Linked DNA regions of Sus scrofa. The protein of the gene in region 2 interacts with the protein of the main gene of each other region in a pairwise test. Links are inferred from orthologs where the notes say so. Each region holds a gene or a part of one and is shown on either strand. Other genes may lie near its edges.

What was found. The genes of interacting proteins can lie anywhere in the genome.
Region 1: the proteins of PNMA5 (region 2) and ZMYND19 interact in binary tests that used the Homo sapiens proteins (3 or more experiments, as listed by UniProt). The two-hybrid records come from large-scale screens. The link is inferred for Sus scrofa from reciprocal best matches to the Homo sapiens genes PNMA5 and ZMYND19.

What each region holds. Positions count from the first base shown.
Region 1 is NW_018084833.1:413,045-420,140, forward strand, and holds the end of ZMYND19 (zinc finger MYND domain-containing protein 19), read left to right. Parts: intron 1-3,850; coding exon 3,851-4,031; intron 4,032-4,260; coding exon 4,261-4,404; 3' UTR 4,405-4,802; downstream 4,803-7,096. UniProt on the Homo sapiens protein: May be involved as a regulatory molecule in GPR24/MCH-R1 signaling.
Region 2 is NC_010461.5:123,995,344-124,002,994, reverse strand, and holds PNMA5 (paraneoplastic antigen-like protein 5), read right to left. Parts: upstream 4,061-7,651; 5' UTR 3,959-4,060; coding exon 2,648-3,958; 3' UTR 1,794-2,647; downstream 1-1,793.

The DNA.
Region 1 (7,096 bases), on a different chromosome or scaffold from region 2:
CTGGGCAGCTCTTACTACCTTCGGCTGTGCCGGTGCTCATCTCCCCTGCAGACAGAAGTCGGGGGGGCGGGGGATGTCTGGTGTCTCTTAGGAGCTTCACAACAGCTGGAGACAGGGTGGAACCTTGGCAATGGTTCGGGTTAGTGTCTGGCAGAGCCCCATGCAGTGCAGGTGGAAATGGCAGAATGAGCCTGCTAACTGGGCTTGGCAGTAGAGAATAGTCCCCAGGACTAAGAAGGCCACAGGGCGAAGAAGGCTGCTGCAGGCCTGGAGGGCCGTCCGTGACTCTGCGAGGGGGGCAGGAGGCGTCTCCAGGCCTCCAGGTCCGTGTTTCCTAGAGTACGGCCCCAAGGCCCCCTCATGCTGTTCTTGAGCAAGGCTGGCCCTTTTTTACAGTTGAGTCAGGACTCCCATCCTCTGGGGGACTGTGTTAGCCTAGCCTCTGTCTGCAAGTGACAGAAACTTGAGTCTCATTTGGCTGAAGCACAGCAGGAGCGTGCGGGTTCCCCGCGGGATGTAGAAAGCCCTGGCGCCTCCTGCAGGTCTCAGGAGCAGCTGCCAGAGCCACGTGCCCGCTCTCCTCAGCCGAGGACAAGCTGGGATCAACTCCAGTTGGATCGTTTTGAGTCTCCTTTCTGCTTCCATGCTGGGGACAGGAGGGTTCTTTCATCAACAGAATGAGGGCGGCTCAGCAGGCAGCTCCGCTCTGGATCCCCCGGGTCACCCGGCACGCGCACAGGACCCTCTCTGAGTCCGTGAGGTTCCCACTGCAGACACGGGAGGGGCACTGCCTACCCTTCCTCCAGCAATGGGTCTGCCTCTTCCTGGACTCTCTGGGCTGTGGAGCCTGTCATCTCGGGCAGGTCTCCCCATGACCCGTGGCCGAGGGTTGCATTCGTGCATCTGAGCTCCGTGTGTTGTGAGACAAGGGGACCCGTTAGGCAGAGGTTCCACCCCAGCTGTCCCATCCTCCTTCCAGGCCACTCACGGGCAGCCCAGGGCCATCCCGAGGCTCCTGCCTGCTGGTTGTCCCAGGAGCTGAGTGCCCAGGGGTGGGGTTACCTTTGGTTTGCAAGCTGGGGTTCAGCTCCTCAGCACGTCTGTCGGGGCAGAGCCGGCCGCAGGCGAGTGTGGCCTGAGCTCCCCTTGGCCTGGCGTGTCCTTCCATCTCTCATCCAGTGGCCTCTGTGGCAGCTCTCGTCAGCGTCCCATCTGTGAGGTGGGGTTCAGCACCTCAGCCCCTCCTAGGCCCGTAGCTGCGGCCCTGCCTCCCCAGTGACGCTTCAGGGGGGCCCTGATGGCTGCCCCACCGGGGCGCAGCTTCCCCCGATGCCTCTAGGAGCTGGCTGGGACTGAGACACGCCTGTCGTGCAGAACTTGATTGAAGAGCTCAGAAAGTTGTCATTCTCCCACATCCTGACTCATCCTTTTCTTTAAGAGATGTTTTTATTGTGGGAAAATACATGTAATATTTTCTTTTGAACCATTTTAAGTCCGTAGCGTTAAGCACACCCACATTGCTGTGCAGCCATCACTCTCCACCTCCAGAAATCCCTCGTTCCCCAGACTGAAGCTCTGTCCCCAGTAAACACTAAGTCCCCACCCCTCGGCCGGCCCTGACACCCGCTGGTCTATGCATTGGCCAGTCTTGGGACCTCCTCTGAGTGGGTTTGTGTGGCGTTTGTCCTTGAGTGACGGGCTTGTTCCACCCTGCCTCCTTCATGTGCTCCAGGCTCACCCATGGCGTAGCATGTGTCAGAATCTCCTTTCCGTCTCAGGCTGAACAGTCTTGCGTCAGTGGACGAGTAGCACGTTGGGTTTGTCCACCCACCCACGGGCCCTTGGTTGCTTCTACCACCTGGCTGTTGTGAACAATGCGCCTGCGAACACAGTTGTGTGAACAGCTCTTCCGAGTCCCTGCTTTTGCTTCTCTCAGTGTGTGCCCCGAAGTGGAACTGCTGAGCCGTGTGATGGCTGTGTGTTTAGTGTTTGGAGGAGCCCCCGTGCTGCTTTCCCAGGCATCTGCACTGTTTCACTTCCCTCCGGCGGTGCAGAGGCTCCAGTGTCTCCACATCCTCGCCAACACTTGCTTTCTGTTCAGTTGCTAGTAGCCATCTCCTGAGTGTCGGGTGGTCTCATTGGGGAGTTTTTTTTACTGTGTTTTGGTTATGCGGTGGCACGTGGAAGTTTCGAGGCCAGGGATCAAACCCACGCCACAGCAGTGACCTGAGCCACAGCAGTGATGATGGCAGATCCTCAGTCCCTGTGCCACCGGGGAACGCCCCATAGTTTTGACCTGCATTTGACTGATGATCAGTGATGCTGAGCATTTTTTTCTTTTTTGGCCGCTGCGCAGCACATGGAGCTCCTAGGCCAGGATCAGGTCTGAGCTGCAACTCTGGCAACCCACTGTGCCGGGCCAGGGATTGAACCTGTGTCCTAGTGCTGCAGAGATGCTCCAATCCTGGTGCACTATGTGGGAATTCCTACCCATTTTTACTTATTTATTTATTTATTTGCCACACCTGCAGCATGCAGAAGTTTCGGGGCCAGGGATAGAACCTGTGCTACAGCAGTGACAACACCGGATCCACGGTGCCACCAGGAAACTTTTAGGTTTTAATTGAGTTGTAGAGTTCTTTATATATTCTAGACTTGAGTCTCTCATCAGCTAGATGATGTGCAGATGATTCCCCCCTCCCATTGTGTAGGTCGCCTTTTCAGCCTATTGGTTGCCTTTTTTTTTTTTTTTTTTTTTTTTAAAGGGCTGCACCTGCGACATGAAAGTTCCCTACACCACAGCCACAGCAATGCCAGATCCAAGCCGTGTCTGCAGCCTGCACCACAGCTCACAGCAACGCTGGATCCTTAACCCACAGAGTGAGGCCAGGGACCAAACCTGCATCCTCGTGGATCCTAGTTGGGTTCGTTAACCACTGAGCCATGAAGGGAACTCCTTTGATTGCCTTTCGATACACAGAACTTTTGGATTTTTCACGGACTCCTTGTGTCTACTTTTTCTTTCCTTGCTGTGCCTTTGGTGTCATATCCAAGATCATTGCCAAAGCCGACGTCATGAAGCTTTGTCTGATGTTTCTGAGTGTTTTATAGTTGGAGTCTTTGTTAGGTCCTCAGTCTATTCTGAGTTCATTTTTGTATGCGATGTTCGAAGAGGGCGACCCTTCCTTTTTAACCAGGTCCCTCCAGGCTTGGCCACCAGGGAGGGTGGGCAGGGGATGGTTCACCCGGTCCTTGGCCATCACGGTGCGGGTGCTGCTTCCTTGGAAGGCCAGCTGCTCCCTCCCTGGGGTTTGCCCCCCTCTCCTGTACCTGTTGCGAGGCCTGTGCAGGCACCTCAGTTTGAGCATCAGGCAGAGTTTTTCGGTTGTGACCTTCGAGCTCCTCCAGCAAGATGCACGGTTAGATGTAGAGCCGCACGCGGCACCGAAGCAGAGGCGGCTTAGCCAGGTGCAGAGGCCAGTGCTCTTGCGGCCACCAGCAGGGAGAGAGGCTGCCTGGCCTTGCTCAGGGGGCGCAGGCTTGGCTGGGCCTGGGGCTGAGACCACATGATCTACATACCTGTTGTGTGCCTGGCTGTCCGAGGGGTGGGGGTGATTGACCAGCGAGGCAGACACAGCCCTGCCCTGTACCTTTTTGCGGTTGAGGTTACAGAGAAGTAAGTCCCGGCGTCGGGGTGGGCCAGAGGAAGGTCGGGCTGCCAATCAGAATGTGGGGGAGGCATCCTGAGATGAGCAAGCCTCTTGTCCATCCCTGGAGTCAGTCCTTGTCACCTCCGTGCCTCAGCTCTTTCTGGCCAAAGAGTACTGACGCGTCTGCCTCTCTCTTTAAGGGAGCAAAGCTTATACTGGCTCGCGATTCAGCAGCTTCCCACGGACCCCATAGAGGAGCAGTTCCCTGTCCTGAACGTGACCCGGTACTACAATGCCAACGGGGACGTGGTGGAAGAGGAGGAGACGTCCTGTACCTACTACGAGTGCCATTACCCTCCCTGCACGATGATTGAGAAGCAGGTGCGCTGCAGCTGGCTCCGGCCGCCCCAGCCCTGCCCGGGGTCTGGTCCCTACAGACCCCAGGCCTCTCCTAGAGCTGCCCTTTTGCAGCTTCCCGGCTGTGGTGGCTGTCCCTTTGTCGCCGCCTGACCGGGGCCCAGGCCCTTCCACCCAGTGCAGGGGTTGCCGGGTCCTCGCGTAGTCTGTGCCCCACAGCCGACTCCCCAGCGTGACCTGTGTGTCCTTTCAGCTCCGGGAGTTCAACATCTGTGGGCGCTGCCAGGTGGCGCGCTACTGTGGCTCCCAGTGCCAGCAGAAGGACTGGCCCGCGCACAAGAAGCACTGTCGGGAGAAGAAGCGCCCCTTCCAGCACGAGCTTGAGCCGGAGCGATGACCGATGACCGGGCAGCAGAGCCGCCTCAGGCCCGAGATGCCGCGGTGTCTGGATCTCCGCGGGGAGGTGTGGACCAGGCTGATGGCTGGACCAGAGCTACTGGAGGAGCCGCCCAGCCCCGCCCCCGCGCCACTGGCCCCGCCCCCGCCCCGCCCCCGCGCTCGCCTGGAGCTGGAGCAGAGACCGCTGGGAGGCTCCGCAGGGACAGTTCTCATTATTTATATGTTAATATGTTTGTAAACTCATGTACAGTTTTTCTGGGGGGAGGCCGTGGCAGGGTTAGAAATTACAAATAGTGTCATTTGCTGTAACACTCAAATTCTCCGGGTAGCCGGGTCGAGGAGGGCGGCCTGCCTGGGACCTGGCACAAGGCAAAGTAAAGGGTGGGACACCCGGGACCCTGACTGTGCCCTTCTCTGCTCGCCTCCTCCCCGGTCGTCCGTGGACGTGGGTGTGGCTGGAGCCTGTGCTGTGGCCAGGCCTGGGGGTGGCTGCCGAGGTCGGCACTCTTCTCAGCCACCACTGGTGCCCTCTCGCTTTGACTCAAGAAGCGCGGGCGTCGGGGCTCAAGGTGGGGCCTCTGCCAACAGCTTTGCTGTTTCCTGGCCTGGGCCGTGGCCCCCAGGCCAGGCCTCCCTCTCCTTCCTGGAAGCCACAGAACACTGAGCACTGGGCAGCATCTTGTACACCTTGCATGGCCATCTGGGGGCCAAGAGCCAGGCTGTATGGACTGGAACTTACAGGTTTGCAGGGAGAGTGAAGGCTGGGCATGCCAGCTGTGGTCATCCATCGAGGGCCATGCCAGGCACCACGTGGGTCCCGCAGGCCCCTGCCACACTTCCCCTTTTGCAGCTCTTCTGCCATCTTCAGAATCCCCTGTGTGTTCTTGCTTCCCTGGCTGAGGCCAGCCCCCTTGGTAGCCTGTGGTCCATGAGCTGAGCTTTTGGTAGTTTCTGCAGAGCTTGGAGTCCTCCTGGGGAACAGGCTGGCGAAACAGGAGACAGCAACATGCCAGGAGCTGGAGGGGAGCCTCAGTCCTAACCCCGAGGGAGGGTTTTCTGTAGTTGGAGAAACTCCACCTGCCCCACATGCGTTTCTGCTGAGAAGACTTTGCTGCTGTCTGTGCGAGTCAGCTGTGCGTCTTCCCGGGCAGGGCCTCTTCTGCACGGGTGAGGTCTGCGCTAGGTACCTCCAGGCCCAGGTGGGGCAGTAATGGGGGCTCAGAACTGTCAGGAAGATATGTGGGATCCCGAGAGCCCTACGGGCAGCAGCGGCCCTGAGCCCTTGGGATGTTCCCAGAGCCGGGCCAACTCCTGCTTCCTGAGGCCAGCTCTGGGCAGGGATGTTGGGGTGAGGGGACCTGTGTCCGTTTGGGTGAGCTTCCAGGCATGGGAGCCTGCCTTCGTAGGCTCCTGGGATGAGGAGGCCCCAGATCACAGGTTGTATCTTGCCTGTGTCCTTTGGGGAGTAGCCAGGTCGACACTCTGGCCTGTCTGCATTCTCTGGCCAGCGTGAATTGTTTTGTGGCCAGCTGGTCATTGGAAAATTGCATTGAAAGGGAAGTGGGAGGGTTTCAGCTGACCTAGTGGACAACACACTGGGTTCTGACCCCTGGTCACTTTCTCCCATGGCTTGTGGCACATTTGGAAGAGCCTTCACTTGGGGCCACAGGACTGGTGCTGTAGCTGGTGGCTGTCCCTTGCCTGATGGTATTGCATCCCATGCTGGAGCAGGGATGGTGGCCATGGGGTCCTGGGGTTTCCCTCCATTGCTGTCGCTGCAGCAACTGGAGTGGATGCACTCGGAAGGTGCCCCGAGGTCCACACATTCAATTCCCATTTGTTTTCTTTGTCCTTTATCTGATGTCCAGCCCCTGGTTTCTCTTCTGATGGCCTCCACCTCTTGATCTTTATAGCCACACATCTCAAAATGTTTGGAAGCTCAGCATCCATTCATATGGCTGAAACATGGAGTTTGTTTCCCATCTGTTTGGAATGTGCTGGTTGGGGATGCTTGACTTCACTGGTACCGGACCAAATCCAGGACGGCCTCTTGCTCCCCGATCAACCTTTTCTGCTTCCTTGCTTCAGCTGCATCTGACCTGCTGACTCAAATCTGTATTGCCAGCTGTGGAAACCACTTCAAAACCACAGGCTGATTACCCAAGGATCCATGTGGATTCCAGTCCCATTTCCTGGAGCTGCCATAACAAAGTATCACAAACTACCTTAAAACAGAAGCCGCTGTGTGGTCTTGATTCTGAGAGCCAGAAGTCTCTAGGACCGTGCGCCTTCCAAGGGCTCTAGGGGTGTGTTACAGGCTCCTAGTTTCTGGCAGTCACAGGGGGCATTACCTTGTAGATGCCCTGGCATTGTCTTCCATCTGTGGGCGTCTGTCCCTAACAGTCTCCTTCATAAGGACGTCAGTCATATTGGATTAGGGCCACCCTAATGGCCTCATTTGAAATGGGTTACCTACGCAAGGACCCTGTTTCCAAAGGACACTTTCTACGTATTATTGGATAGGACTTTAACAGCTTTTAGGGGGATGCTACTCAGTCCATAGCAATATCCAGCACTTACCTGCTCCAAACTTGTTCTGTGGAGTCACGGAAATTTTTTTTTTTTTTTTTGATTGGTGTCAGCACATCATCAGTTTCCAATCAGATTGTGGCTGTGCTGGCTCCCCTGCC
Region 2 (7,651 bases):
CCGCAACAAGGCACCAACCCATTGGACCGAGGAGGCTACAGGCCTGGCTCTCCTGCCCTCCTTCCCCAGACCCCTGCAGGGAGGGGCCCGATGGCTCAGGTCATTCCAGGTCCAAAGTCGCCGAGTCACTAAAAGGCAGATGGAGAGCACGCACAGCGCCCCCATCCCGCCTCTCCCAGGACACAGGGCTGGTGCAGGGGACGGAGTGGGACAGGAAGGGGGTGCCCCTGGGTGAGCAAGCATCCCCCACCCCCCCACCCCAGAGTCCTGTGTCATGCTCCCGTCAGGGCTTTCTGACCTCACGCCTGGACCCATCTGTGACTGGTCCTGGGGATTGACTCCCTGAACCCACTGGGTCCTGCCTGCTGTCCCCCCCTCCAACGTCTAACACACATATTTCTGGGGGCTCCCTGAGTTTCCCAGGGACCCACCAGCCACGGCCTGTGCTCACAAGTCCCTGCCGCCCGGCTCCATCCAGGCCAGGGAACCCCACAGACCTTCTTGGACCCTGCCTGGACCACACCCCAGTGCCCACTGGGGATACCAGCCCACTGGTGCCTCCCTCCGCCCCCACCCCCTTCCATTGCCCACAGCAGAGGCAGACTCAGCGGAAACTGTCCGTGAAATTTATTGATGAGAAGCATTGACTGAAACCATTGAGGACAGAGAGTGACAACACAGAGAACAACTTCAAACAGCCGCTGGAGCCCACAGGTCCCACTGCCCACCCCCGGTCCCCAACTCAGTGCCTCAGGAGCAACCCCCACTGTGACCCTCCCTTGCCCCATGGTCTCCTTCCTGAGGGCCCCGCGGGCGGCCTCTCGCCAGGACGATGGACCCCAGCAATGTCCCCTCCCCCCAGGATGCCCCCTCCGCCTCTGACCCACAGCAGGACACGCTCCACCACGCCAAGGAAACTGAGTCACGAGGAGAGACGGGCTGGAACCGCAGGACACAGTGGAGCCTCCCGAAGTCCCCGCCGGCCACGGGTGGTCCAGGTCTTCCTTCTGCAGGTCACGTGGTGGGCGCTGGCCTCGCCCTCGTCCATCCTGTCCTTCCCACTGTCTCCCGGGACTGGGCCGGGGGAGCTACTCAGAGAAGGACACAGGCACATCCCCACAAGGACGCATGGCGGCGGGGGCCTACATCTACGCCCAGAAAGCAGACAGTGAGCTCGGGACACGGGACCACAGCAAGCAGAGCCTTGGCTGGCGCTGAAGCTCAGGCCACCTGGCAGGGCCCCGAGGTGGCTGCCTGGGTGGGCGGGGGACACCTGGCCAGGGCTCAGGGGCACCTCAGGGCTCTGCAGGGGAACCAAGGTCAGTGCGTGTTTGGAGGGGAGGGGAGCAGGGAGCGGGGTGCCTTGATACGTGGGTCACGAGGGGCTACAGAGACACAGGTGGGCTCCCAGCACAGGGAGGCCCAGGCACCTTGACACGGCCCCTAAGGTCTCCGGGGCCAGTGTGGGTGGCAGGCGTCTTCGGGTGCCCCTCACCTAGGCTGGCTGCCTGGGTTGCAGGCTTTGGGGCTGACTTTGGCATAGGCAGCTGGTGAGTGGTGATTTGCCAGGCCAGTCCCAGGTCTCCAGCGGCACAGACATCAAACCGAACCAAACGCCCCTCCCTCCCACCCACCAATCCTCTCTCCTCCTTCCCGTCTCCTCCCCTCCTTGTCCCTCCTCCTCTTTCTACATCCTCCTCCCTCTTCTTCCTTCTCCTCCTGCATCTTCTCCTCCACTCTCCCACCCCTCCTCTTCCTCCTCCCCGTCCTCTTTCCCCGCCCTCTCCCTCCTGCTCCTGCTTGGGAACTAAAGTTTCCTTGCGCTTGCACACCCACTCGCACCAAAGCAGCTGTGCCCACTAGGGTACCCTGCACCCTGCCTCTCAAGCTGAGCCTCTGACACGGAGACCTTCTCCGCACAGACTTTGCTGACCTTGTCCCCACAGCCCTTCCAGCTTAAGGGGGAGGAGGCTGCCTGTAGGCTGGTGCTGGGCTCCCAGGGCCTCTGGGTCTCCTCCCCTCACTTGCGCAGAGGCTCCAGGGTGCTGCCTTCCTGGGGCTCCCCTAGAGCGGTGTAGATGATCCTGAAGACGGGCTGGACCCTGCGGGCTCCCCTCCGGGGCATCTCTTCTCCGCCCCACAGCTCTTCCTCACCAGCGCTGGCTCCTTCCAGAAGGGCTGGCCCCGGGGGAGGCTCCCCTGGGCCCCACATGGCCTGGGGGCCCATCAGCTTCATCAGCTCAGAGCCTACCCTCTGGGCATTAAGGAGTGGCCAGATGCCAGGGTCCATGCCGGAGCCCCCCACCACACCTTCTTCAGCCTCTTCTGCCTTGGGGTCTCTCTCCGAGGCTTGGCCACCCCACCTGCCGAGTGTGCTGGCCCCCTGCTTGCATTGCCAGTGCCTCTCCCAGGCCCTGTGCTGACTGGCCCTCACTGGGCTGCATGGGGCTTGGTTGGTAGAGCCCCTCTGAGCTGGCAGAAGACAAGGGGGCTCGGCCTGGGCCTGGCTGCCCTGCCACTCTCTCCCCCTCAAGTCCCCCGCTCTTGGTGTGGGCTGCTCCTTCATCTCATTAAAATATTTTAGTTGCCTGCTAGGGGAAGGGGTGCCTGGAGTACTGAGCCTACGCTTCCTAGGGCTCGGGGTGGCTCATTGCCCCAGCCCCCATCTCGTTTCCCGACTCTGCTGCTGCAAACTGAGGCTTCTGTTTGCTGGAGCTTGGTTCTCCACGCTAGGACATGCTGCCTGGCTGTGGCCTCCCTCCCCACTACCGTAGCAGCATGACATGCGCCTGCGCTTCAGGGACAGGCTAATCCCTTCCTGGATGGTCTGAGTGCTGCTCTCGTTAAAGGGCCCCGTCTGCACCACGACCTGAGGCATTGGGACACTGGCTTCCACCAGCACCGGCCTGCCGGAGGCCCTGCGGCCCCTCCCCACTTGCCTCTCCTTCGTCAGGCCCATGGTGGCCTCCCACTCCTCTTCATCTCGAATGACCTGCATTAACTCGAGGAAAGTGGGAGCACGACCTCGCTGATCCAGGAGCTCTAACTTGGCCCGGAGGCTGGTGCTCATGCAGGACCGAGCCAGGATGTGTTTCAGGCGAATCATGTCTGTGCTTCTCACGGACAAGGGGCTATTTTGCACGGCTTTCTGCAGCAGGGGCTCTAACCGTAGCAAAAAACTAGAGATTTTCTCTCCCGATTTCTGGAAGGTCTGGAGGAACTTAAATTGTGAGGTTCTGCAGTCCTCTTTAGTCCCAAAAATTTGCTTCAGGGCGTCCAGACACTGCTCCACGGTCATAGATTCATCATTGGCCCGGAGCACCCGCACGACAGATAGGGCAGAGCCGCGAAGGCTCTCCAGCAGACGGCGCCTCTTCTCGACCTCTGACACCTGCCAGAGTTGCATCAACTCAGTGACGTGCTCCAGCCAGCCTTCAAAGCTGTCTTCGTCTGGGCCTGGGAAAGTGCTTCCCGAAAACACTCTGAGTTTTCGGTACCACACATTTTCTTTCAGAGGCTGCAAGGCTGGTGACCTGACCTGATCCGAGGCCTCTGGCTCCATGCCCTCAGTGGGAGTGCTATATCCCAGGGTCTTGGCCACATCTACCATTCTCCGGCCCTCGTCTTTCAGGAAGTAGTTGAGTCTATTCATAAACTCATCATCTGAGCTGCGGGGTTTCACAACCACTTCCCAGGCACCTCCCTTTCCTGGTATCTCTCTGGGAATCATAGCATAATTGACAGTATCAGCCAACTCAATGAAAACTGCCTTAGCATTATCTTCCCTTCTGAACATTCTGCCCAGCACCCTGTAGGTGCACAGGGGATGTAAGCCTGCCTTCACGGTCTCTTTAATTTCAGCCTCACTGCACTCCACGGGGATCCCCACAATCAGCAGGGCCTTCCTGGGGTCCAGGTCCATCCCCTTGCACCAATCCTCCAACAGTGTCACAGCCATTGCTCCCACTTTCTATGAACTGATCTAATACCAGGTGCAGGGACCAGCTCACAGAGTTTGATCAGGACTCAGGCAAGTCAAGGCCAAATATGAAGGCAGAATCGTCCTGGGTTTCCACAGCCTATAATGTGAATGGGGTGAGAGCATCATTAATGGCCACCCTCCCATCCCCACCAAAAGCCCCTCCTCTGCCCCCACTTCCACTCACAGAACCTCATTCTCTGCCTCACAGGGCTCCCCCAGTCATTTGGTGGAGGGGTCTCTGCAGGCCAAGCTCCCCCCACCTCACTCTTTCCCTGCTGACCTCTGCTTGCCGTGGGTTCGTCCTCAAAGTCCGAAGACCCTACTGTCTGTGCTGGAAGTGCCTGCAGTGAAAAATCCAGCCTCAGGAGGTGGGGCCTAATGCCTGGGAACACTTTCAAAGCTCTCCAACTAGGAGAAGACCAGAGGCTGTCCCACTCCCTGGCTCGGGGCTGTGCAGGCCCAGGGCACCTGGTACCCTTACTGCTGGGGCAAAGTTTAGAGGACAGAGATGTGGCGTTCCCTCCTTTCTCAGGATATGCCTGACAAAGGAGAAAGATGGCTGGAGCGCTGCACAGGGCATTGAAGCTGGTGGGTATGGAGAACGTGTGACAAGCTGCAGTGTTGCCATGGATGAAGCATGTGGACTACGGGTTTCACAGGGGGTGTCATGCGGAAAGGCTAAGGAGCAACAGGTGATGTCACTGGCCTCCAACCCATGAAGAGGGAGGGGAATGGGGGGGGGTGGGCAGCAAGGATCAAGTACTGAAAAAGAACTTAGTTTCAAACTGTGTAGAAGCTAGAAGCAAGGACAGAAAAGGGACTCCAAAAGGGTCTCCAGTACCACACCGTAGGAAACAGACAATGCTCACCCTGGCTTTGACCTTACTCTGCCAGACCCTTGGCAGGCAGGCAACCCCGCCCCTCCTGCTTTTCATCAGGGTTACAGAAGCCTCTGCAACACAGGCCCACCTCCCAGCTATTTACCATCTGATTAGGGACCCATTCACAGTGCAGATGAGGGGATTTCACCCGCACTCAACACTAGGCCTGCCCTGGGGATCTGGCCAGTCAGGCAGTTTCTGGTCCTGGGGTGGTGGGTACTGCTTCACTGGATCTGTCCAAGGCCAAGCACAGGTATTTTGCTATGGTTCTGGCTGACATGCTGCTGCTCTGCCTATGCCAATTCTATATACAGAGGTGCCCACAAGTATTCTGGTACTGGAATACAAGAAACTGCTCAACTGGTACTCAGTGCTAGGGCAGGTTATTACCTTTCCTCAGTTCCACCCGGATCTCAAACTCACTGCCAAGTCCCACTCCTACTGAGGCACAAACTCCATCTTAAGCTCCACCCCACCTAAGCTCAACCCCTCACACCAAGCCCCACCGCCACGGAAGTTAGACCCCTGCTCCCACCAACTCTCATTTCTTCCCATGTCCCATCCCCACCCCAGCCCCACCCCCGTGACACCAAGCCCCACCCCCATGGCAGTTAGATCCCTGCTCCCACCAATTCCCATCTCTTCCCATGTCCCATCCCCCACCCAGCCCCACCCCTCACCCCAAGCCCCACCCCCACGGAAGTTAAACCCCTGCCCCCACCAACTCCCATCTCTTCCCATGTCCCATCCCCCACCCCAGCCCCACCCCCGTGACACCAAGCCCACCCCCATGGCAGTTAGATCCCTGCTCCCACCAATTCCCATCTCTTCCCATGTCCCATCCCCCACCCAGCCCCACCCCTCACCCCAAGCCCCACCCCCACGGAAGTTAGACCCCTGCCCCCACCAACTCCCATCTCTTCCCATGTCCCATCCCCCACCCCAGCCCCACCCCCGTGACACCAAGCCCCATCCCCACGGAAGTTAGATCCCTGCCCCCACCAACTCTCATCTCCTCCCATGTCCCATCCCCCACCCAGCCCCACCCCTCACCCCAAGCCCACCCCCACGGAAGTTAGATCCCTACGCCAACAAGTCCCACCCCTTCCCATGTCCCATCCGCAACTCAAGTCCTATCTCTAAAGAAGCGCAGTACCCAGCCTGGCCCAATAACTGCTGCCACTCAAACCACATCCTTTCGAAAGCCCTGCCACCACGCAAGTCCAACTACTGTCCCCAGAACTCCCACCCTCATTCCCCCGTCCTCCCCACCCACACCTAGGCCCACCCCAGTAAGTCCCCCCACCCCTTCACACACCCACTACCTCAAATACCCCTCATTCCAGAGCAGGAATATATCTAGTCAGTGAAAGTTGGTGAAGTCCAGGAGAAGGGCTGAAGCCACTTTCCCTCCAGAGAAGCTCAGAGCCTGTCCCAAATGCAACGGCTGTGGACAGGATTAGCTGTAGAATAGGCTCCCCTGTAATTCCTAGGCTGGTTGCAGTGCCTGGAAATGGCACGGAAATGGTGGGGGTGCCAGGCCTGATCTAGTAGGATCACGCTTCCAGGGGAAACCTATAGCCACCAGCCTCTGGGATGCCAAGAAAGAGGCGAGGGCCAGTGGAGGAAATCCCGCATGGTTGGGTTGCTCTCTGTGCACAAGACCCCGACCCGTACCTGCTGGAGATGCCTCCGGGCCAGAGCACCCGAACACCACAACCGCTAAGCGTCTGTCGCCGATGCTGCCACGGTGCAGACTGAGCGGGAAACTGGTGGCGCCAAGAGGTTGTTGGGCGACAGACCCCCCCCCCCCCCGCCCTGAGCTGCACACGGCACACTTGCGGCTGCGCCCTGGCAGCGTGGCGCCCACCACACCACCCCTTGAAAGGGGGATTCCGCGCCCCGACCTGTGCGCCTGTCTCTGCTGCGCCTAGGCGGATAGAGAGTTTGAATCAAATTGAGAGCGCCCTACATTGCACAGCCGGACAGAGTGCAGCCTTGGATTAGCTCGAAGGAGATGCCATGCCAGCCACGTGCCACGCCAGGCCCAGCAGCCATTTTGGCTCTTGTTTTGCATGTCTGTTCCCTATTGGACAGGGGCTGTGGTCTGACAGTCACCAGTCACTCTCACTATTTGAATATTCCAAGCGGTCGGCACAAGGTCAGGTGCAAAAGTGAAGCCCAAGTGGGTGCTTACTGGAGGAAATCCTGATATAAATTTTTTTAATTTGCCTTTTTTCTAGTGGTGAACTGCAAAAATACAGCAGCTTCCTATGAATTACAAGGGCATGAAAATATTTAGGGTTCGCTGAGAGATGGAAAACTGTCAAAGGATTCCATTCTCCCATTATTCTCTTGACTTCATGACCAAGTATTAACCACCTAGTACCCAAACTGCTTCCCGCTCTTTTCCAAAATTCTCCCACAGAGGGAAGACCAGAATGTTTTCCCTGAGACACGGGACCTGAACGCTACTTTCACGAGCTATTCGGGAAAAGGGCGTGGGTGGAGCTCAGGTTATCACACCAGAAGGTATGCACAAATCTCCAGGAGGTCTTGATAAAAATTCAAGTTCTGGGACGGGAGGACTTGGGACTGAGATTCTGCCCTTTCTGGAAAGTTCGGTGACTCGGATGTTGCAGATCCGTGACTACAGTTTGTGAAGCCTGTTTCACGTTTCAGGACCAGAAGTTGTGTGCCTTTGGTGAGAGAATAGATTTCTTTTGGTTTCTTTGGTGTACAAAAGGTTGTTTTTTTTTTTTTTTTTTTTTGATCTGTTTTCATAAAG